Linked DNA regions of Medicago truncatula. The protein of the gene in region 1 interacts with the protein of each later gene in a biochemical or structural test. Links are inferred from orthologs where the notes say so. Each region holds a gene or a part of one and is shown on either strand. Other genes may lie near its edges. The genes, in order: protein NAP1 and protein PIR.

Region 1 (12,456 bases):
AGCAGCTTAAGCTTTTTAGATGGTTGGTTTGTGAAGTGGTATCCGAGGGTTTATGACCAAGTGGTCTAATAATGAATCCTTGCTGCCCCATTCTTCTAATAAAAAGTTGAATTTCAGCATAACATAGATGGTCCCGTGTAATATTCACTCCTTAAGCCTTGAGGGCTCTTGTGTGAAGGGTTGTGTTAGACATAATGTGAAAATAATTCATGTATCTTCACCCAAAAGCTTTAAATTATGGGTTAGTAGATTCACAACGATTACATAAAAGAATAACAAGTGTAACATAAGAAGCAGAGATGAGATGTTAAATCTTCTGTGATGCATTACAGGACATTTTATATTCATTTGAAAAGATTATGAAAACAGGTTGTGTTGATTCATCCATGTATGAAAATCATAATGATAAATTAGAAGTAATATTCTTTTAGAAAGTGTGTTGAGGTTTTAACATTTGACACCTAAAAACAACATAACATCTTATCTAGATAGGTCTAGGTACTTAAAAAACCACAAAGATGGAAACCAGACCAACAGTGTGACTTCTTTCGAGATGCTTAGTTGAATCTTGATATATCATATAGTGTTAAATGTTAAAACCGGTTCTTCCAAAAGCTTCAGTTGTTATGTCTCATAAATTCATGAGCCCACTTTATCATGTATTAAAAATTAATTTAATTTATTGCAATTATAAAGACTGAAGGGACAGTGGCCACTTAGTCATAAAGGCTTTGATACGATGTTAATAACCAAGTATCCTAAAGCTTATGTTGTTAGTTGGAGTTACAGGAATGCTTTTATATGTATCAGAGACTAAAAGTTTCTAGTTAACTATTTGTAAGCAACAGAGCATTCCTGCATAGATGGTTGTACTCCAACCAATCACACAATCCATGACAAACAAAAAAATACTCAGTTCTGTTCCAAAGCGAATGAAGTAATATAACTTGATTATTCAATATTTAGTATTTTCCTGAGCAAAGACACAGAAGTATCACAGATTCAAATATTGTGTAAGCACGTGATAGGGAAAACTTTTCCATAAAAAGTTTTCCCTATCACGTGCTTACACAATATTTAACACCAACAAATGTAACTCGGAAAAAGTAGACAGGAAAGTGAGAATAAGTTAAATTTTATCATGACAAGACAGAATTTGGAATAAAAATAATTAGTTATATGACTAGAAAATCTACTCAATTTCTTTATCATATGAACTTTGCAATTATTTATATCATACCGACACATAAAAGAATGTGACTAACCTCTCCAATACGAGGGCTCACAAAATTAAGGTCTTCCTGTAAGCCTTTTAGTGGTGGATCATAAGAATCGATGAACTGAACCAAGCTGTAAAGTAGAGAAAAACATAAAAGGATTGAAATGATGAATATTTGTTTTTACCAAAAAAAATATGACTAGTAAGGAGGAAAATTATCATAAAGAATCTCTCATTGACGCTGGCATAAAATCTATTTTTCGTCATCTTTATCATTTTCATTTCTCATCCATTAGTTCAAAATTCAACTGCTCAACGATCTCATCCCTCCAGGCTCCATCTGTTTTTGCCATAAACTAATATAAATAGCACCTAAGATTTTGTATGAAATTGTCATATACTATATTTTCATACCTGAATTAATAGATATCTAAAACTATAACCCTGATTCTCTCATTCCAACATCAATTTTCCCTCCTCCTAACCATGTTTCTGTAGAGAAGTTGTTATCTATCTACTTTCTCCACATTAAGCACTTCAACTAATATATTGCTGCAATTGAACATCTATTCAAGAAAGAAATTTGAGCCAGCTCTCTACCGATGACATTCTACAGAGGTTAAAGTACATTTTGTTGACTTATTATTTAGTGTAGATTGTATCTGTTTATCATAGCTTACCAAAACCCAGGTTTCTCTCTATATCAAGTCGTTCTTATATGCTCTGTCACTCATGTTTTGTACGCTCATACCTTGTTATGTTCAAGAGTTAATAAATATTCCCCAAACTCTGTTGAAATTTGAGGATTGCCTTCCGATGTGGGTATAAATCCACCCCCTCAAAGCCAACACAAGGCAACCCAAATCCACCCCCTCACAGCCAACACAAGGCTTAGGGGTGGACCGCAGTTAAGGCGGAATTTCCAACACTCTTCCCCTTGTTTTAAAATGCTTCCAGACAAAGAGAGATTTTATCATAACCTTTTCCCTTTCCTCTCTTACCCTCCCACCAAAACAATTACTGATAGTAAATTAGAATCTCTATCTGTCTCTCACCCATCCTCTTCCAGGAACATAAGTCCATGTCGGCATAATTGCACAAGCAAAATGCCCCTCAGCATTTTTTGGACGAAAAGAAAAGGAATAATTTTTTCTTTAAAAAACTAGATTATTCAACATGTTATGCCTTTGAGCGTATAAAAGCATACCATAAATTATTGTTTACCAGAAACTGGAACAATTTAAGACAAGTTATTGGAACATCTTACCGATGATAAAAATCGCAATCCCGCTCATTTCTTGACAATGCATGTAGAAGGTTATAGGTCTGTAGCAACATCTTTCTTGGCATCTGCTATGAAAATAATGGTTTCCAAATTACTGCTCATTTATATTTGGTTGAAACAGTTATTTCAATCCGAATTTTATTCATAAAATGAACAAATTTAAGAAAATAAAAGAGGAAGTTAGCTTGCCTTCTCAGAGAAAAGGTTGACCCGTACAAATGAGCAGAAGAGGTCCATAAATGCATGTAGTATAAGAGAATTCTGATGGGGCTGCAAAACACTGTGCCTAGTTATTTGAGATATGCAGAGATAAAGTAATTATTTATTAGTTTATTCAAATGTGAGGACACCCATTAGCTATTTCACTAAAGTAAAGAACTTCAGATGAACGGGCTAAAAAGGGGTAGAGAATTCAATACATCCCATTTCTGATTCAATATTTGACATGGGCCATTCCTTTTTAGAAAGGAAAGAAAAAAACAGTTAAAAGTAAAAGAAAATAATGGATTATTATTAAGAGGAATAAAAACCAACACCAGGTTGACATGTGCTTCATAAAAAATCTAGACATTTTCAATAATAATAGAGACGACACCTTTGTAGTTCAGAAACATTCAGAAGATTTGAATCATTTTTCAAGAAAATTTGATGTGACTCCCACTTCTCTGCCTCATTAGGGCAGATGTTTGTCAGTGATGAAAAGCCACTGAACCTTTGGCTTGAGTGGAGAAAGAGAAATGGGTTCATATCATATAGTGGTATGTATATGTACAATTACAAACCAGTTCCCAAGATCCTTGTAACATCAAAGCAACTCACATCATAGGAGAGCAACAATATTGAGACTCACCAACAAGGTAATTACTGTACTACTTAGATCCAATATAAGTCGCAGTGCTTGTTCGCGAAACACCATCAAGTCAAGAAGTAGCTGTTAAACACAAAAGAATAATTATCATGTGAGTTCAGGCAACATGCAGCTGAATTGAAAATCTAAAAGATATGCATAAATGGGCAATTTTAGGTGACATAAAATGATATCAATGGAGATCATCTATTGATCAAGGTCGTAAATTACAAAGATAATCAAACCTATAGTCAATCTCGTTAAGATCAATGGTCAACCAAAGCCGATAGAGGAGAAGCATACAATACAATTTTTTTTAAAGTTACATTTAACTGATGACACATGCAAAGCAATGAAACCAAACTTTCATAAGTCAACTGTTGTTTTCTTCATGAATGACTAAGTAAATTGTGTTGGTACATAAAGCATGGAGTTACAAATCATTGCTTGCAGTACAAGAAACCTTAAAAGTTAGAATTAGGGTATTCTATTCTAAACAGTATTATTTATATTGCATTATTAAGGTGTGATTGTTATATACTGAGCCCGTGCCAATTGTACTAAACTTGTACCTTAGCCTAGATTATCAATTATATAAATAGGGGGATAAGTTCATTGTTTGTATTACACCTGTTCGGACTTCCTTTTGGATTAAAATTACAAAATAACTATTAAAGAAGTAATGGATTAGTACAAAATTAGGATTACTTTACAATCTTCAAATAAAGAACAGGTATAGTTGTTAGCATTTGGCAGTACTTTTGTCTTTTCTATCTTATTATATCATAAACCAACTATCAGAAGGGGGGAAATTATCAGGATAAGTGGTGATGGGTTTTTAGCTGTATCCAAGGGCAGTCTATTTAAAGGCATTGCTTAACAGTGTAATGGTTCAGTTGAGTGAAAAATTCCCCGGGGTTTATATTCTAGGTTTCTATGTCACCTTGTGTTGTATCAGTTTTAAATCTAAACTACAAGTTTTAGTCTTTTGGAATTCAGTGCAAGCTTCAGCCTTCTCTTACACTCTTTCCAATCTTTCCTCCTATGAAAAAAATAAATAAACTAGAATTCAATTTCAACTTTTCATAATTCTATCTACTCATGCAGTAAATTGAGTAAAGAAAGATATTGACATGTAGAGTTTGGGCAGTGTTGATATACCAATCAAGTTAAATAAGGTGTCATGAATCAACTAAACAAAAAGCTTCAATTATTGAGTAAATGCAAATGAATGGTTTTATATCCGAAATGCATTGCCACCCAAATTTTTTCCGAACATTGACTTTTATTAAGAAGAATGTGTCAACCCTTAAAAAAGACAGAATGAGTGCAATAATGTTTGAACTCTATACTGTATGATCATACAGCCTTTGGTACCATGTCATGAACAAACCAACCAAAATCATAAGTTATTAGGGGAAAACACATGAATGATTTTATATCTAACATGAGGGCATGCAGCCAAAATGAAAAAACTGAAAAGCTTCAATTAATTGCTTGGGGTTTAAGAGTAGGAACATATGGAAAATAGTAAGTAAATAAAAGTATAAAAACAGCACCTGCACCCATGGTTCCAAGCTCTGTAAATGAAGTTCTGCATGATCTTGCATCGAATCCCAGGCAATCTTATCTATCTGCATCCATATTTTACCCAAATAATAAAAATCACAGGCACTGTAACGAACATTCAAAACGAAAAGCACATCAGACATGACTTCTTACACGTTCTAGTTGCAACTTGCTGAAGTGTTCAGGAAATTTCTTGGAGAGCAAAACACAGATTCTAGGATGGTTGGGAAACACACCAGCTTTCCAAAATCCATCCGAAAATACATGATTAATGGGGTCCGGATAATCCAATAGCTGATTTAACCTATACATCTTAGCCATAAGACCATCGGCAACATCAGTGAGCTGCACAACCCACTGCATGTTAAGACCCTTATGAGGTTGGGACGGCGTACTACCCTGAGACTGCCCATCATGACCGAAATTCCTGGAGCTGGTTGACGACAATGGAGAAGCCGTATTTGTTTCTGTTCCAAGGTAGTCTGCCCATCTAGATGGACCATCCCATTCCCTTGATCTTGCCGCAGTCGGCGATAATGAAGAATCCTGGTTCGATGATTTTTGCCTCGACTTCGCCATAAACTAATAATAATCCGTCTCTGGCTCTGCACATCAAGTTTTCCAGAAAACAAGTTCAAGACCAATCAATCAGCAACACCAATTTAGCTAACTCCTACCCTCTCTCACATTACAGTACCATTGTTTTCATATAATCAAGGATACCTCCAATTTTATTAGCAAAAATCTAAAATATTGAAACCTAAAATCATTAAGCCTCTTGGGAACTATACAATAATATGAATTACAATTACAAACCTAAAATCTTCAACAAAAATCTACAATAATGTATGCTCACCAAATATACAAAAATGAACGAAGATTGAACATGAGTATGATTTATGAGTAGAAAAGATCTTGTGGAAAGAGAATTATTGAGTTATAAGCATGAATTATGTAATTTATAGGCAAAGCAAATTACTAAAAACGGAAAAATGAAAAAAGTAAAACCTAAATTTCCATTTCTAGGTTGCTGTTAAAGCGGTGAGAAGTTGAGTTTGAGAATTACCAAAAGCAGAAAGTGTAACATCAATAAATAAAGAAAGATACAGATTAAGTAAGTAAAAAGAGCAGAAAAAGTAAAAGCAAAAAGCATTTCGTTGCAGAGAATCAAGATCAAAATCTGAAATTCAAAGTAAAAATTGAAAGAGAGAGAGATTCTACATTTGCACGAGAGAGAGAGAGAGAGAGAGAGAGAGAGAGAGAGATTACAGTGGAGAGAGAAAGATGAAAGTCAGATCTGAAATAGAGTTAGTTGAAAGAAGTATGAATTATAATGTGAAATGTTGCTGCTGATGCTGCAAGTGCGGGATGGAGGAGGGAGCTGCAATTTTCAGCGCAGATATTATTGTTACTGTTGTTAGAGCTTTTTGTGTTTGTAATGATAATGATGGTTTATTCAACTAAAGATAGATTAGCCGTTTTTGTACTTTCACATTTTCAATTTTGTTAGTTGTCACGCCTATTTCTTGTGTTTTACTTCTACACGACGTGCGTCTGTTTCAGCTCACTCCTGTGCTTTTCTGCATTTTTCTACTATATATCTACGCTTTTCTGTATTCTAAAAAATAAACAAATAATAATTTTGTTAAAAAAATCATTATTATTATAATTTTACTCAAAGATAAAAAATAATTATAATAATAGTAGAAGTATCTTATAAGTACCACTTAGCTGATATCCGCATAAACATTTGATATGTTGGAAGAGTTTTGAATCCTCAATTTTTTATTACATCAAACTATTTTTTGGCTAAGGCATTGTGATTAGGATTTTTAACTCTTTTTTGGTGATGGTTAGGGTTTGAACTCTGAACTTTGTATACATTATGCATTGTCCATAGTCCATATCAACTGAGTTAAGCTTACGAGGCATGTTAAAGTATCTCAATGACTTGAGTCTTTGAATTCTTTCCAAAACTAGTCATCAAGTTAGCAACAAGACATAAGACATTTTCTTTTTTCACTTCTCCAAACATAATTATATGTGGGATTTTCGCCAATTTATTTAACCAAAAGATGGTAATAATAATAATAACAACAATAAACAAGGGATTCAAACCCCGGACCCTGCATATATTACGCATTATCCATATCGACTAAGATAAACTTATGAGTACAAATTAAACAGAGCATTATAAGGCTAACATGTCGCATACGGGGATGTACACATATGATGATTAGTTGGTTATAGCAACGCATTCATGTTAGTTACATTTGTTATATTATCTAATTTAAAGTTTGATTGACACGTCATTATCTATACTATATATAAAGAAAACAATTTCTTCCAACATTTTGGGTTGGATTTTTCCTTCCAAAAATATCTTCAATTTTCAAGACAAATAACACATGTAACAAATAGATAATAATAAATTTAAATATTAAAATAAAAGTGAAACAAACACAAATGTATAATTTTTTCCTTTATCATTTAAAAAATGTAACAAACTAGATGAGTGTATATACACTTACTTTTTTATTATCCCAATTATACCGTTGAACATCAACTTTTTTTATAATAAATATTGTTATTGGTGTCATTAAAAAAAAATAAAAATTTAGATCATGATTAATCTGATTTGTTATAATTTAAAAGCAAAAAACATTTATATTGTTACTTTTAATCAAAATTAAAATTTCATAAAAAAAAACACCGTTAATAATTTTCAAACGTTAGCATAATAAAAAAACAAAAAGACGATAAAAAAAATAAATGACAATTTAACTCAATGTATAAAATTGAGAAATTTAAAATATAGAGGGATAAATTATAAAGAAAAATAAAAAATGAAAAAAAATTAAGGGACCAAAATTGTAGGTCGAGCATAACAAGCGGCCAAAAAATTATCCAACAATTTATAGCGCTCCAAGTATTTTAATGAGAACATATCTAAGAATGGATAGAATTAGAATTGTTAATCAAAGAATTAGAGTTAGATTATCTTACATGTGGTATTCCCCCTTTATTGAGAGTTTTTCACCTGATAATGTGATAGAATAATCAGATATGATCACTATTTTTTGTTTGTTGATGGTTTTTTTTTTCTTTGACATAACAATTTTTTAAAAGACAAATAAACAAATATTATAATTTAGTAAACTCGTTTAGATCTTCTGCTTAAAACTAATTTTCAGAGATCAGGTTTTAGATCTTCTGCTTAAAACTCATTTAGTGTTCTTTAATGGTTACATATATAGTTAGTCATTTATTATGATATTTTTTTTTTGGGCTTAAATGGTAATCCACTAAAAATAAACTCACACAATTGTGAGGTCTCGTGTTCGAACCCGGATCACGACGTCCGACCTTGCAATTTTGGTATTTGTCAGTTGATCTATGATTTCTAGACATTATGATACTTTTTTACTATTCATTATTTACGATTTTTTCTTTAAAAAAAACTATTTATGATTTTTCTTAGTAATTTGTTTAAGTTCCAACTATGTTTTGTAAAAAAAACTATGTTAAATCTGATAAGGTATATTTATAAAACATGCTGTATTAATTATGTGTTTATGAGATAGTTATAGTGATATGTCATGTAAGTGTAGTTCAATTGGTAGTTTCATGAATATTAAGCACGTTTTGAACTCTAAATTTTTCATTTCTCTCTATCCTTGTGAGTATAACCACTAAATGATCTGAAAAAAATAGTAGTTGTAACTTGTAACATTGAAGTGATAAACGATGTTGCATGCATGCATACATTTATGTATCCTTTGTGGGCAAAGTGCATACAATAATGCTTTGGTTTCTCAATTCTTAAACACATTAAAAATTTGTCTATTTTAAAGATGAATTTTCATTAAAACAAGCTTGTAATGGATTCTATGACCACACATTTAAGGGACCCCTAATTACTTACATCTCCAATATATACCAATTCATATGCTATACAATTAGGATGCCTAATAAAAGACTATATGATGTTGCATATACGTCAAAAATGCATCCCTCCATACCGACGAGGCCAATGATGGTTAAAAAAGTGATTACTGATTAATAACCACGCCACCGCATCCAGTGGCATTCACTGTACGAGGTATACATATATGGAGTAGAGTATTGGTGGGTCATTGTACTATTTAACTAAAAATATCTAACTAACAAATATACAAATTAACCAACTTTTTGTTTCATTATGCTCATATGTGACTGAATGCTACGGCAATATCTTGATAAGTAGTAAATGCCAAGGTGCAGTTGGTGAGGAACTAAAGCATTTGCAGAACAACAATAATGATGTAGGGTCACAAAACAGTGTATTTTTAACACATATGAATCATTTGGTCCTCCCTAGCTATAGTAAGTGCCTACGGGGAAGATATAGTGGCGATTAGTGTGAATGGAAATATTGATACTTTGAAGCCAAGTGCTGTATCTTTGAAGCATTTCTTTCTCTATTAACATACTTCACTTACACATTAAGCCACCATCATTTCATTTCATATTGTCAAGTTAATTAATAGTGTATATCTTTCTGTTGTTTGCAAGTATATACATCAAATGTTCACTTTTCCAAGTGTGAGTTGGGGTTTTAGAAGTTTAATATATTACCTTCCTTTATATTTTTATATGAAAAAATATTTGTGTGCGCTGATAACTCATTTAAAACTGTAAGAGGGATATAAATAAAGAGGGGAATCACCCCTCTCGTGTGATATGATGGTCCATTGAAATCTTTATCATTCATTGCAAAAGAGAGATAAAGAGATTTTAAAAAAATTAAAGTGAATTTCAAATGTGAAGATCAAGAAATATGAGGAAACATGAAAAGAAAAAATTGAGAGAATCTCTTCCCGTTGAATGACAGTTTGAGAATTATGAACGTACAAATATAAGGATTATTTTTATGTTGAATCCATTTTAGAAAAGTCATTACACTTGTAGATGAAAATAATAAGTTTAGACGTTAGATTAAATTAAACACTATCATATATCCTGTGAAAGTAGATTTTAATCAAATCTTAAGAGTGGATTTCAAATCACACTGTCATTATTACAAATTATTGGTTTGAAAGCATAGAATCAGAAAAATGATTTTACCAAAAGTTATCTTATCTTATTGTGATTAACCAAGACAACTCTGTAAAATAATTTGTTTACATCTCACAGGGTTGCAAAAATAAAATACTTATTTTTTATGGTACTGAATTTTACGAAGGTACTGATATCTTTAAGAATTAATTTTCAATATCAAGACATGCTCACATGCATTCTGTTAGTTCAAGTTTAAAAACCAGTTATTTATGTTTCAAGTGGTATTCATGAATAAAATATTAACCACTTACTGTTTGAAAATATATATAGTAGGGATTGGGAAACCTTCAACAAATAACTGTTTAAAAATATTTCAGTAAAAAGAAAGTTAGTGTTCATAAATAAATATTAAGAACTGACTTTTTACAAAACTTTCCCCCGATAAACAGTTTGGTCGGTAAAAAGAGATAAAAGTTTGTTCAGGTAAAGACTCTTGAATGGAAAAGGAAGGAAGTCAGTGTCTGGACTCTGAAAGCTTCAATACCTACTTGTTTTTATAGTAATATATTACTTGAAACGGTTTAAATTCTCCTTAATTGAACCACTAAAATAAAGAAAGGTAGCAGTTGATCAACCATAGCTAGCACGTAGCACATTACATTCTAACAAATTCAAGACCATAGCTAATTTATAACATAAATACAATTACGAGAGAAGCAAGCAATTATTCACACACAAAAAAGAAGCAATTAACGCATGTTGAAAATTGAAACTATATGCTGTCCTTGGACATATATAAATTGCTACTCATGTTGGGGCGAATGAGCCAGTGTCTCAATCAGAAATAAGATTAATTAACTAAAACGTGTTTCTGAAATGAGTATGTTTTTTTATGTAAAAATGATTAATTAAATAGAGGAGATTAGAAACAGTGGGGCTTGTTAGAGAGACATACGACATCATAAGTAAAGGAAGAAGCAGGTGCTGCTACTCAATTACTCTGCCAAACATTACAGTTTCTATAATCTGGAATAATATACTCTCCTTAACTGGAAAATGAAGACACAAGTCAGCGTAGTAGGAGAGCCTTCTTAAAGTAATATTGTTGCAAGTGTACCTACTCATCCAATAAAATGAAAGTACAGAAAATTGATTAATATTTCAAGACTTACAAGTCATCCAAATGGGCCAGATTAAAATTTTGACAAATCCATCACATGGTTTTGACAAAGCAAAAATTCCAAGTTGTGTGGTGAATTTAACATATTTGTACTTGACTTTTATAAATTTATCATTTAGATTTGATCAATTAGACCATGCATCTAAGAAAAAGATAACTTTTCCTGATTTTGAAGCAGAGTTTAGCAAAGAGTCAAAAATACCTATATAAGCATATGTCATGGCCTCGAGGAAAAGGATAGACCGGTGTGTGTGTAGACCAGCAACCATTGGGAGATGTTAAATCCTTCAATAGATTTCAATACCTCGAGATATTAGCGGCTGGCTTAGACAAAAAAGAGAGCAAATTCCATGACACTGACACACTTAAACATCCAAATTGGAGTTTATTATTGACAATATCAGATATAGGTTCCTAATTGTTCCTATGCTTTGTAATACATGGGTTTCATCATACCCCAAGAGTAAGAAACAGCAACCGTGACTTTTCCATTCGTAAGAGCATTCTTGTTGCTGCCCAAGTACTAATCAACCCAATGGACATTCATTATCAAATAAGTCCTACTCTGTTTTCAAAACTGTAATTGTTTTCTCTATTTTAGGGAGTTATACCAGGGACCAGGGGTACACGTGGCTTGGGTTTTTTTACTTTATCAACCAATATAGCTTGAGTAGTTAGAACCACGCCAGCAATGGAGACTGCACTTTGAAGAGCACATCTTGCAACTCGACTAGGATCTGCTACTCCAGCATTCAAAAGATCTTCATATGTGCCAGTCATGGCATTGTATCCGATTCTCCAGTCAAATGTTCTAGTCTTCTCGACAACAACATCTCCATCAACTCCAGCATTAGCTGCAATTGATTTAGCAGGTTCGACAAGTGCCTGCAATGATTCATGCACAACTGCTTACAGATATGCAAAAGTAGACAAGTTCATAAATAAATACCTTTCACAAAGTTAGTCTCAATCCTACAAGAAAAGGAGGGGAAAATAGCTGAGAAATTTCAAAACATTTTTACCAGAAACTAAAATTAATAAAATTTAAAAATAAATATCCTAACAAATATCTCAGCTCAATAAATGTTGATCATTTCTCTCTCCTAAGGGACAGGGTAATGCTATATGGTAACTCTAAGCAAACTAGAAAGATGCAAACGCGCAGGGTATGAATCATTGAAACTTGAGATAATTCTTCTATGCCAAACTGAATTTATATTCCAGGGTATGAATCAGTTGAATTTCGGATCAAATATCATTTGATGATACAAAAAGCGTGTGCGCACTCAAAGTGTGAATCTATTCTATCTAAGGAA
Region 2 (12,619 bases), on another chromosome or scaffold:
TTGATCATTCCTTACCTTTTCGTAGTCAGAAAAAGATGGGGATGCATCCTTGCATGGTCGAGAAAATTTCCATGCACATTGTTCCCAAATGCGTGCAGTCCATCTGCTCAATAATTGAAAACCTTCAACAATCATATCATACATGTTCCCTTTGACCTCTTTGCTCCAATCAACATCAGAACCATCGGTGGACTTCAACAACAACAGCTGCAAAAACAGTGTTAGATAACAAACTCACGCAGGCTTTAAATGGCATGAAACAATACGTATAAGATTTCAGGGAGAACTTTTCCTATGCAGAGCAGGGGGCATTACCTGATTCATTGCTGAAGCAAAACGAATTGTGAAATCATCATGCTCAGCACGAACAGCTCCAATATGATTGACAATTAGATAATGTCTCTGATACGTGTCTCATGTCAAGGTTACTTTCTTAAGACAAAGAAGGTAGATGCTTCATACATTTATGCAAATTAAAAGCTTCAGAAGTAAAGGGTTTCTCCATAATCGAAATTCCATAATTAAATTTAACTATAAATTAATCTAATTATCCAAATGCATCATGTGTTGTGAGAACATATATTAAACCTATCAAGTTTTCCACACTATCTAGCCACAAAAAGCACAAAATTTTGCAGGAAGAGAAAAACTATTGCACCAAATTTTCAATGCTGAGACAACCGATACGGTTTTCAACAAATGTATTATTCAATTCTGGCTAAAATACAATATAATAAAATTTTCAATGATCAGTGTTTTAGTTCCCCTCAATATATATAATCAGGCCGTTAATTTATTGCTAAATTCTGCTAAACCGAATGTACATATATGAGAACTTTATCTTGAGGTTGTTTCATACAAAAGCTCTTTCTGTCTCATCTCTCTCTGCATCTTCATTTTCTATTATTTTTCTTCACTTTCTCATTCTCATTTCGAACAGAATTCATCAACCAGAAGTAGAAAGAACTACAGAGCACCCTCCTTGCATTGTTTAACTCGAAAGAACAAAAAGCATGCAATTTGTTATCCTGAAGTATATGTCACAGTCACAATCCATCTATTTGTGGTGAAAGTGACAACAAGTAATATTTGTTCATAACAAAGGTCAAGGAAATGAAATATTGGCTCAATAATACCAAATATTAGCACCAAATTTTCAGTTAAAACAAAAAACAATTTAGAGGATATTCTTGTGCTTCACGAGGTGGAAGCTCGTGAGGTGCTGCAAGGGTGAGAAGGCGAGTTTGGGAAGAAAATTTTGGGAAATATGTTGATAGTTCCTTCATTATCGCAGCTGGAGAGAGATGCAAATCTGGAAAAGCAGGAATAACTGCTTCGTTCTGTATAAGATAAACAGATCTCAATTTCCAGTCAACAAAGAAGAATTCAGTGCATGAAATGTAAAGTTCTTCAGGTAATTCAATAGCACCATCTTTTCTTAACCCAGTAGATATAAATTATAATTTATCATTAAGCATATATATAACAGTACCTTAAATATATTGATCAGTCTGTTGATTTTTACCCTCTTGTACAGAGACTCGCTGTCTTTTTCTGAAGATGTCACTAGGACAACAAGAACAGGCAAAACACGCAAAAGAATGTGGCGCTCCGGAAAGAGAAGTGCAAAGTCCAATTCCAAGGACTCTACAGCAAATACTATAAGAACTTGAAGAATGTCTTCTACACTAATTCAAGTCAAGGAATTGAATAAGAAATAGAAGAGGGGGTATACAAAAATTAAAGTTAAAAATGGTGATACACATACAAGTAAAAATTGAGTCGGTGTGATAAAACAACAAGATTATTTGCACAGACAGTATTCAAAGACAAAACCCAAGAAGTAAAATTTAGATTAAAAATTATTCTAATCAGCTAGATTTCCTCCAACTTGGTTTAGATTGAAAACATGAATAGATCAGTTTCTTCATTTCCTAGCTCTGAGTGTCGAACCAACTCCGCTTGTTTCTTTTGAATGAAAGTATATATGCATTAAGGAGAAAGTCCGTTGATATCCTACACTCTTTCTCAAAACTAAAATTTCAACATAAACTAGCACTCAAATCTTCTTCCCAATAGACCATTTTATCTGTCAGATGGAATCAGTTCCCACGATCATCCTAAGCAAAGATAACTTCTATCCAAGAAGAAATAATAAATAAAGAAACAATTACAATTAAACCAGAAAAGTGGAAATGATGGTAGCCATGTGGATTGTGGAAAGGGAAAAAATGTGAAGTAGATATACAGGATACTTATTTACACGGAACATCTCAACATGCAAATTCAACAAAATAGCCCATCTAGTGCTCAAGAAAATCTGCACATGCAATGATAAAGAAAGGTCAATAATCCATTTTTGCCAGGATTTTCAATCAAAATAAAATGTAAATGAAGATTATGGAAAATCAAACAATAAATAATAAATGTACATATTTCTGAATTTCAAACACTGGGAAATTTCAATGATTATGCACCTGTAAATCGTCTAATTCCTCCCTCATTGAATCAGTATCTTGCCACTGACCACTAACTTGTGTGAAAGTCCTGACAAAGTGGGGAGAAGCAACATGAATGCATGAGAAACTTCATTAAGTAAATGAGAAAATTTAAAATATTCAAAATTTATGTCTTCCTTATTTTCAATCTCTCAAACCAGACACAGAACTAATTTTTTATCATACAGAGAAAAACTGAAAGAAACTGAATTTAACAAAACAGTGTAACAAAGTTTATGTCTTCCTTATTTTCATTCTCTCAAACCAAACACAGAATTAATCTATCATCTTAAAGTACAAAGAAAACTGACAGAAACTGAATTTAACAAAACAGTGTAACTTTACTGGAGAATATGGATGCCTAATACTTTTTATATTGTATGTCAAACTAAAGTAGCTAGGAATGTCATGCAACCCTCATGCACTCTTGGTCATGCAGTTTTATAAGAAGGTGATATTATCAACTGTATGCCCATTTAGTTTCTTCAATGACATTTTGGTCACCACATACATAGTACCCAATCAGACACTTTCGTCTGAAAATCTCGTAGTCAACACTAGCTTGTTATTCCTATAGTATATAATATTTAACATTTTAGGTGAGGCAAAAAGTTAGATCCCTAAAGTGCCTCAATTTGAAGTAGGTGTTCCAATCAACAAAGCATTGGATCGAATGTACTACAGAAGTTACATTCAGGAACAACATTGATAAATGGAGAAAATCTCTGCTCATTAATTTACATGTTAAACAACAGACTCCTAAAAGCGGCATTAATATAAAAGGATTCAAAGAAGGAACAAAAGAAAGACATAACAAACAGAACCTGAAAGTAAAGTTGAAGATCCGCTACATGAAGATAAAGTAACATAGGCAGAAACTAAATGCATACCTTTTGTACCATGAAAAGTCATTAGGTATGCTTGCCTTGGCATTTTTAAGATGGTCAAGTTGCACCAGAACATCAAACAACTTCAACATAGACCTAGAGTCAAGAATAAAGCTATTAAATAAATAAATAAATAAAAGTGACAAAAACAACAAAATAAGCATTATAACACACCAAAGATGAGATATTGTAGGCCCATTAATGCGCCGCTCAGGCCTAGAAAAACGTTGCATGTCAGTCGCTAACTGCATAAAAAAAAGACATGAATGAATTTACTTAACATGCTAAATGTCTGAATCAAATTAAGTTTCTGAAAAATAAAAAAGAGGATCATACAATATGTAAAACACAACCCGTACTTTTGAGGAAGCCGATGCTTGCCATCGCTGAATTTCACGCAAACGACTCATTTCCAAATCCAGAACTTGGTATGTTTCCAAATATAAGTCAGCTTGGCTTTGCTTCATAGAATCAGGAAGCTGTCCCATTGTGGCAAAATGCACAAGTTATAGGAGAATCTATAAACATATGGAAACATGAAATGGATTTCTTTTTTTTTAAGGGAATGAAAATGTATTTCTGATAGGGTCATTTTAATATTATCAAATATATCAATAGACCAAAAATTTATTTTGAAAATGAATGCATGCAAGATATCATGTTGCATACTTGCATTAAGCAAAGCTATCATTTACTTATGAAGCTTCAACTACTTGATTTCATTCACTATCCCAAAAATATAGGTTTGACATTAGAACTCTGTGCATGGACTATCCAACAAATTTGCCTTTTCAAAATGCAAAGTAGACATTTCATGTGAAACTGGCATACAATCGCGGTAACTTCAGATTTAGTGCCAGGAAAATTCAAATATAATCGGCCAAATTACACTAGAAGTCCTTTAAGTTTTCGGTTTGTAACACATTGGTCCTTTTAGTTATTTTAATTTCATATTCTTCCTTTAACTCTTCAACAATTTGCACTCTTATCCTTGTGGTGGTTAGTTGATGATATGGCAAGTACACATCACTAGAAAAAGTAATTTTTTATTCAAATCCAGCAAACTCATCCATCTTCATCCTCTTCCTTTCATCTTCTTCATAATCTTCATCTTCTTCCTTCCATTTTCATCATCAAACCCAGAAAATTATAATCTCCATATTAAAAAAATATAAAAATTCAACTTCTCTCTTCATTTATTATGTTTACAATCCATAATAAATTACTTTTCTGCTGATGGGTACTTGCCATGTCATCAATTAACAACACAAGAATAATAGTGCAAATGGTTGAAGAGTTAAAGGATGAATATGAAACTAAAATAACTAAAAGGACCAATGTGTTACAAACCACAACTTAAAAGGACTGCTAGTGTAATTTGGCCAATATAATATGTACTTCATGTCTAAAAGTAACCCTTTCCCTTCTGAAAATATTTCCTCATTAACCAGTAAAACAGCATATTTTATGTCCATTGACTGGCTTTAACTACCGATAGATGATAGAAATATTACCTGAGGAAGTGCTTTGACACAACTACGATATGTGTAAAGCACCGATGCCATCTCCTTTCCCTCTTGGGTAAGAGAACTCTGCATTTTGTATAGCAAAAGCAGTCAAAATTTTCATCAGACGGGTTAAACAACAAAAATATCCCAAGAGCAAGCATCATACCAGCTGATTGAGAGCTTTCGTATCCTCTGACAGAGATAGTCTGTATGCCGCAACATCACAATATTCTACACAAAAAAAAAAAAGACGGCATTAGATAGCAATTACCAATAACTCTGCATCTTTCAAGCAAAACTCAAAAGACTCCGACATTATTTTCAAGTAAATTTACAGCGCAATCTCAAATTAGCGGCATATCTGGAGAATAATAGTTGAACTATGGAATAGGAAGTTACCTATTGGACTCTCTGTTGCACCTCTCTCAGTTGATACCCACACTCCAGGTCCTTGCACCTCTGGTTGCTCATCCTACATAATTAATGAACAAAATACAAATCACATGAAAAATTACCTTGCATATACCGAAATAAGAACTTCAAGTTCCTGCAATGCGTTATTTTGCAAATACAGACTGTTTGGATACACAACTTATTTTGCAGCTTACAGCATAAGTGCTTATCATATAAGCGCTTATGTATCAGCTAGTTTTGTAATAAAACATGAAATAAAGTCAAAATGTTTTAGTATAACCTTTAAGCTATTTTCATGATCTATCATGGAGAGCTTATGAAAATAGATTATGAAAATTTCATAACTTATTTTCATAAGTTCTTCCAAACAGTCTCATAAGTGCTTATGCCAATACGCAATCCTAAGTGATTATTAGATTACTAAACATTTCTATGATTAGAATTAACGCAAATTAAGGAAATAGATTATGAGAATAAGCTAAACCTTTTAAGCTGTTCTTATAATCTATCCTGGAGAGCTTATGAGTATAAGCTGAAAATAGTTTATGAAAATGTCATAACTTATTTTCGTAAGTTCTTCCAAACAGTCTCATAAATGCTTATGTCAATACTGAATCAAATGTTCTTTCAAATCTATGAATTTACACTTAATAATAATAATTAGATTACTAAACATTTCCATAATTAGAATTAACGCGAATTTAGGGAATAATTGACCGAATCAGACCAAACCGTTGCAAAGAAAAAGGAACGATCCAAAAGCGCATTTGAAATTTGGTAGCAAATGAAATGAGAAAAATGTAGCAGAAATTGGATACCTCGAGCGAGAATGTGGAGAGAGCTGCAATGGCTTCTTCAACGGGAACTGCCATAACAGAATCTTCTAGAAATATTGAAGGAAAACGAAAGTGCGAAGCATAGAAAGAAGAAGAAGAAAAAGATCAACTACAATTGCTTTGTTTCTCTCTCTCCACTTTCCCTCTCTAGTTGGTAGAGTCTTCATTTGCAAGATTGAGCAGGTACAACTTCTGTGTTGACTATAATGCCCTCCTTCTTTGCTCTATTTTCCATTTCTGCTACTTACTATGAGGGAAGGTGGTGATTTTAAAATTTCTTTTGTATTAAGCTAATCTTCCCTGATTTGCTTTGAACCTAAGCTAAAATAATTAGTACATGATGATGATTCTAAAATAACAAAGTTTTCAAGAAAATAAATATTAGTACATGATTTACATCCTTACTTTTACCGTACAAAAATTTTTATGAATATTCTTCGCTCTTTGTTTGAGTGTTCATTTATTTTGCAAAAGCAAAAATTATTCATGAATATTTTTTAAGATATCATTTTTTTTTTTTGAAAGAAAATATATCATTGTTTTTATCACGTGCAAAAGTCATTTACAAATTCGAGTCTACCAAGATATATTAAAAAAAAAAGAAATTGAGTCTACCAAGATGTTCTTCTCAAGATTTTCAAAGGTTAAATATTTTTCATTAAAACAAGCTCAAAATGCATTATAAAAATGTGATTCTAGTTTCTTTCTTCAACTAGATTTTTTTTCAAAGATAAAATAACAATATTGCTCAATTATACCAATTACCTAAAAAAAAATATTATTTAAGTGTTTTTAAAGATACTCTAAAATTCTTTGCTAAATTAAGTAAGATTTTGTCTTCAACCTATACTTGAATATTTATTTTTTCGTTCTACAACTAGTTACAATAAAGTCTGTTGTTTATTAGCAACACAAAATTGATTGTCCATCCCAATCTAGAGCAACTGCATATGAGTGTTGATGTAGATCTTAAAGGTGTTCTTGAATGTGATGACAAGGATAATAGCATGGTGTTTCTTTTCTATGATAACTCTAACGAGTTTTGATCTTCGTTCTTGGAATGTCAAATTTTATATACGCTAAAGAAAGGTGTTCGTTTGAAGGAAAATCATTGGAGATTTTTTTTACTTGTAATAGGAGTTTAAAATTTGACATGCTTGTGTTTCTCAATGTAACTGTTCATTTTATCTTAGATTATTTATTTTTCTTTCTTTGAAATGACAATCCTTATTTTAGACCTTATATTATGATATTAAATTTTGATGAAATAACAACAAAATCGAGCATGCCTAAAAAAGTTAGAAGAGATTCTCATGATATCAGTTGTAACATGCAAATTATTAGATGGGAAAAGTCGCGAGTTCAACTTAATCTTTTTGTGTGGTTAGATTTAGGAGCGTGTGTTCAATATGGGTTTTGACCAAGTGTGAACCAAGTTTGTGGAAAAGAAGGGTTGTGAAAGTAAGGGTGAAAACAATGAGTGTGATAAAAAGTGTCTCGAACGATGATCTTTTTAGTGTTTTCCACAAAAATTAAGGCTTATGGTTTTGGCTTGAGTTTGACTAAATTGAAAAGCATGAACGTAATCTCGATATGTAAATCCATGTCAACGTATTTCCTCAATGCTCATGTACTTTCAATTAGAAAGGCTCAAGTCATGGTTATAAGTCTTCCCTTTTGCAGAAACACAAAAGATAGTCATTCAAAACACTAAAGCTCATAGAAGCTGAATCTTTTTCCGTCATACATATTGGTGGTTCCACCCTTACTTTCACAATTTTTTTCACAAACTTGAACCATACTTGGTCAAAACTCATATGGTAAGCACATATTTCTCAATATCATCCAACAAATAGATTGAGTACCTGTTTGGCATAGCGTTTTCCCATCTCAAACGGCGGTTTAAAAGCTGAAACGTGGTTTCAACATTTTCTTAGGTGTTTGGATAACTGCAAACGGGATTCTACCAAACGTGGTTCTAGCCCCCAACGCCCGTTTATGAAAAGCTAGAAAATGAAGCTTTTGCGGCAACTCAACGCCAGTTTGGAATTTAATTTATGGTGACAAATTGGAAATTCCCTAATTACCCATGACTTGTTTTCTATTACCGTGTTCCTTTCAACAGCACAAGCCACATTGATATTGTTTAATTTCTCAATTTCTCAATTGTAAGGACAAATAAGATTTTCGTTTCATTACAGTGATGATTTATACAGATTTTTTTTTCTACATTTCAGACCAATGAATATTCTTTAGTTGCTCAGCATTCTTGAACCTCTCGTTTTTCTTACTCGGTGCTTTTATGGAGTTTGATTCTTTTATTTGATTTGAGAAGACAATGGATAGTGGGCTAATGGATAAAGACTCAATCCTTTTTATTTACTTTTTCATAAAAATGTCAATTTTAAAACAAAAGAGTTGAAACTTATTAATGAGTTTTCTTAGGGAATTTATTAGTTATAATAATAATAATTACAACCCATTTTAGTAATATTTTAAAATTAATTTTAAATTGTTACCTAAAATGGTAAATATATATTAATTATAACTCTTATAATTATTTTAAAATTGAATTTTTGAAACAATAATAATCCAGTTATGACAATTAAAATTTAAAAGGGTGCTTTAAAAAAAATCAATTACAAGGATAACTAGGTCATTACACATTCAAAATCAATTTTGATTCAAACTATCCAAACAACATCAACTTATAAAAATCACTTTTAAACAAGTTTATCCAAACATAATCAATTCTCCTCAAACCCACTTTTAACAAAAATCAATTCTCTCAAACTCAATTCTATCAAAATTAATTTTCGCAACCGCCATACCAAACACACCGAGTTGAACCAGTGACTTTTTCCCATTTGAAAATTCTCATGTTACAACTAATATCATGACAATCTCTTTTAACTTATTTAGAAACTCTCGATATTGTTTTATTTCATTCTCAAATTAAATGTCATTATATAAGGCAAACAATAAAGATTATATTTTCTTAAATAAATGTGTGTGAGAGAGAGGAGTATAGTCGTAAGATCTTTGAACTTTTTGAACTTTGAACATTTATAGTTATATAATAACAATGATTTTATTGACGAGGTTGTGACCGATATAAATCAAGAAACTTAAAGTAGCAAATCTTTTTATTCAATTGTCATATAATTCTTTAATTTGGAAACTTGGAACTATCGACGTATTTCTTTTACTTCTAAATTTGAAAAATAGTTTGAAAATGATTTTTGAATAGCATTTTATTGAAATAATATGTCAATATCTTTTTTTAAGGGAAATATGTCAATATCTTATCAATTGATATTCTATATTTTATTCACCGATCTTAAGTTAACTTTAAGCATAATGCACTAGAAATTCTATAAAAGAAACAAATGAGATTTTTTTTACCTCTCTAAGAACACATTTCCCTTTTTACATTTTACCTCATTGCTACAATTAAAAGGATTTGATTTGATTTTACTACATTTAATTTGGAAAATGAGGAAAAATGCTAAAGGGCAAATGGTTTCTCGTTTCTCACATCACATCTAACAAAATATCATACTCCCTCCGTATTTAAATATAAGCAAATTTTACTTTTTAGATTCATTCATTTAATGATATATGTTGTCCATATTATGAACCACATACATCATTAAATAAATGAACATAAAAAATCAATTTTGCTTATATTAAAAAACAGAGGGAGTATCATTATAAATTAATAGAAGGTAACCGAATCTCACTTTAAGTCGTACTAAAAATTTATAGTCTTAAAGTTGAATAGACTTAAAGTTGATTTATGAGTCGGTGAATAACATATAGAAACATTATAAATTAAATGGTGATTTTTAGCATTATAAAGTGGTATTTTCTCTTCAAAATTATAATTGGGAAACAAATCACCATTTTTGGGTCAGAAATCACCATCTTAGGAGTAAAAATTATAATTTGGGACCAAAATTGTAACAAATGTGATATTTAGGGAAAAAAAAAAGGTGAATTCTAAGGTGATGGCTCTATCAAATCCCTCACCGATGCATCACTATAAACAACAATTAAGATCATTAGATTAATCAAGTCCACATATCCTATTCTACATTACATATATTAGATTATCCCTCTATATATTTACCACCCAGCCTCTTCATGCTCCTTTTCTATTCTCACACTGAAACCACCCATGGGAATATCCATGAACAACAAGGTCCATTGTTTTTGTTTATTTTTCTTGCAAATATTTATTTGATTTTCTCTTTTAATTGATTATCTTAATTTTGAAGAATTATGATTCATAACACAGTTATCACACCATTTTATCAAATTTGCTTAAGATAATTTCATGTCTAAGCACTCTTTCTAGGGCCATTTTCAATCTTCGTTGTTTTTTATTTTGGTTTACTAGTTTCTTTTCTTCATGAAACGGGAAGTTTTAAATTTTTACAAGCAACACAATTCTTAGGGGGTATATTGGATTAGGATTTTAAAAGACTATTTTAATAAAAAAAATCTTCAAGATTTTAAAATATTGTGTGAGATTGTATTGATTCTGTGAGATTTTAAAAGACTTTTTATGTAAAAGACTTCATACACTCAAGATTTTAAATGATTTATCACACTGACTTTCAAGGATTTTATGGAATTTTAAAATTTCAAAGAATTCAATGAATTTTTGGGAAAAAAAAGAACAAACTTGCAAGCGTGAATGATAAAAATAATGAATAATTAAATTCTAGCGTTTGAATAAAGAAAAATAAAATCAATAAAAAATTCTTTTACTATTAAAATTTTAAGAATTTTATAAGATTTTAAGGGATTAAAAAACACTCTAACACATTATTCTCAATACACATTTTTTATTTGTTAAAAATGTTATTCCCACAAAATTCAATTGTACATATTTAAAATTATGCCAGCACTTACAAATCTTTCAGAAATATATATTGTGTCAGCCCTTACAAATCGGTCGAGTTTACACGAATTTATCGAGTGTTAACTCAGTCAAACTCGTCAAACCTTCTAATTTTACCAGAAACTGAGTTTACCTCAGAGTTAACACGATTTTGGTACCTAAAAACGTAAACTCGGTAATATTCTCAATACAATTTTTTAATTTTTTATGAGAAAGAGAGAGGGAGAGAGGGGGGATGAGAGAGAGAGAGAGAGAGAGAGAGAGAGAGAGAGAGAAATGAGAGAATGGGAAGGGGGAGGGGAGAAACAGAGACAGAAGGGAGAAGAAAGAGATAATAAATTTTAAAAGAAAAACAATATCATCTTATAGGATTTTTTTTGTTATGCGGACTAATGGGTTACCTGCGGCCCGTTCGGGCTATCCCAAACGGGTACCGGGCTAAAAAGCCCTATTAAAATTCGGGCTCAATATTTTAGGCCCAAGCCCTATATTTATTCGGGCTAAACGAGTCTGCCCATACGGCCCGGCCCGTTTTGACAGCTCTAGTCTTTACTATAAATCATTAAATCATATACATCATTTGATGAATCAAATATAAATCTAAAATGTCAATTTTTATTTATAATAGTGACCGAAGGAGTATGGGTCCCACACAAGTTTCTTTCTCCCCCAAACTGAGAAGAAACCCAAGAGAGCACTAATATCCTATTGTTTTCCTATTATACCCTTCTGTCAATTTAGTTAATTTTGTTTGTGACATTTTAGTTTTTTTTTCCATCGTTAACTTTAATCTGAAAGTGAGTTTTAAAAAAATGCAGTGTTAGTTTTTTTTTGTTATGTAATCGTAACCTTTTTCTTTTTTATACTATCATATTTTATAGACCGTATTTTGCTATTTTGGAAATTATGTCCATACTGATTTATAATTTTTTTTAGGGTATTGTTAACGAGTGCTCCGATGACACTTTTTAAGGAGGATTCCAAAAGAAGAAATTATTTTATAAAAAAGTCAAATATTTTGATTTTCGATGCATTGATTACACATATTTTTATGATAAATTACTATTTAAAAGCATTAACTAGTGCCCCTGTCAACATTTCTTTTTTTTTTTTTTTATATATATTTCATTGTTTACTTTTTTTCTTTTTAATCAGGTAGCTTAGTGGCAGGTGAATAAGTGGGATGATTGGGGTTCGAACCTCAGCCCATGCATAAAATAATGCATTGTCCTCATTATTTTATATGTTTCAAACATATTTGATCATTTTTATTCCGTAATATTAATTTTTAATATATCTTATGTCATATTTTAAATCAAACTTATTATTTTACTGTAAATTTATGATATTAATAAAAAATATAATTTGAACATTTAAAATTCAATCCAATTAAACTACATTAAATTTGATCGTATTGGATTAGACTTTTAAAATAGTCCTCCAAAACTTAACTTTTAATCGAATGAGTTTTCGTTTTAAAATCAATCTAAAGTATGAAGCCCATATACTCTAAAATGGAGACGCACCCGTATCGGATATCGATAATCCACGGATACTCTCGGATACG

What was found.
Region 2: the proteins of protein NAP1 (region 1) and protein PIR form a complex in vitro, tested with the Arabidopsis thaliana proteins (2 studies listed by BioGRID). The link is inferred for Medicago truncatula from reciprocal best matches to the Arabidopsis thaliana genes GRL and PIR121.

The regions. Positions count from the first base shown.
Region 1 is NC_053045.1:40,730,071-40,742,526, reverse strand, and holds the start of protein NAP1, read right to left. Parts: upstream 6,472-12,456; 5' UTR 6,190-6,471; intron 5,526-6,189; 5' UTR 5,500-5,525; coding exon 5,074-5,499; intron 4,986-5,073; coding exon 4,911-4,985; intron 3,436-4,910; coding exon 3,355-3,435; intron 2,785-3,354; exon of another isoform or gene 2,775-2,784; coding exon 2,694-2,774; intron 2,570-2,693; coding exon 2,487-2,569; intron 1,351-2,486; coding exon 1,266-1,350; intron 1-1,265. Other genes in the region: chaperonin 60 subunit alpha 2, chloroplastic, read right to left, coding at 11,738-12,025. UniProt on the Arabidopsis thaliana protein: Involved in regulation of actin and microtubule organization. Part of a WAVE complex that activates the Arp2/3 complex.
Region 2 is NC_053048.1:55,153,108-55,165,726, forward strand, and holds the start of protein PIR, read right to left. Parts: upstream 6,363-12,619; 5' UTR 6,180-6,362; coding exon 6,126-6,179; intron 5,366-6,125; coding exon 5,293-5,365; intron 5,125-5,292; coding exon 5,060-5,124; intron 4,978-5,059; coding exon 4,900-4,977; intron 3,865-4,899; coding exon 3,745-3,864; intron 3,631-3,744; coding exon 3,560-3,630; intron 3,482-3,559; coding exon 3,389-3,481; intron 2,548-3,388; coding exon 2,478-2,547; intron 2,321-2,477; coding exon 2,256-2,320; intron 1,689-2,255; coding exon 1,493-1,688; intron 1,341-1,492; coding exon 1,189-1,340; intron 410-1,188; coding exon 316-409; intron 208-315; coding exon 16-207; intron 1-15. UniProt on the Arabidopsis thaliana protein: Involved in regulation of actin and microtubule organization. Part of a WAVE complex that activates the ARP2/3 complex. Interacts with the active form of RHO-family GTPases.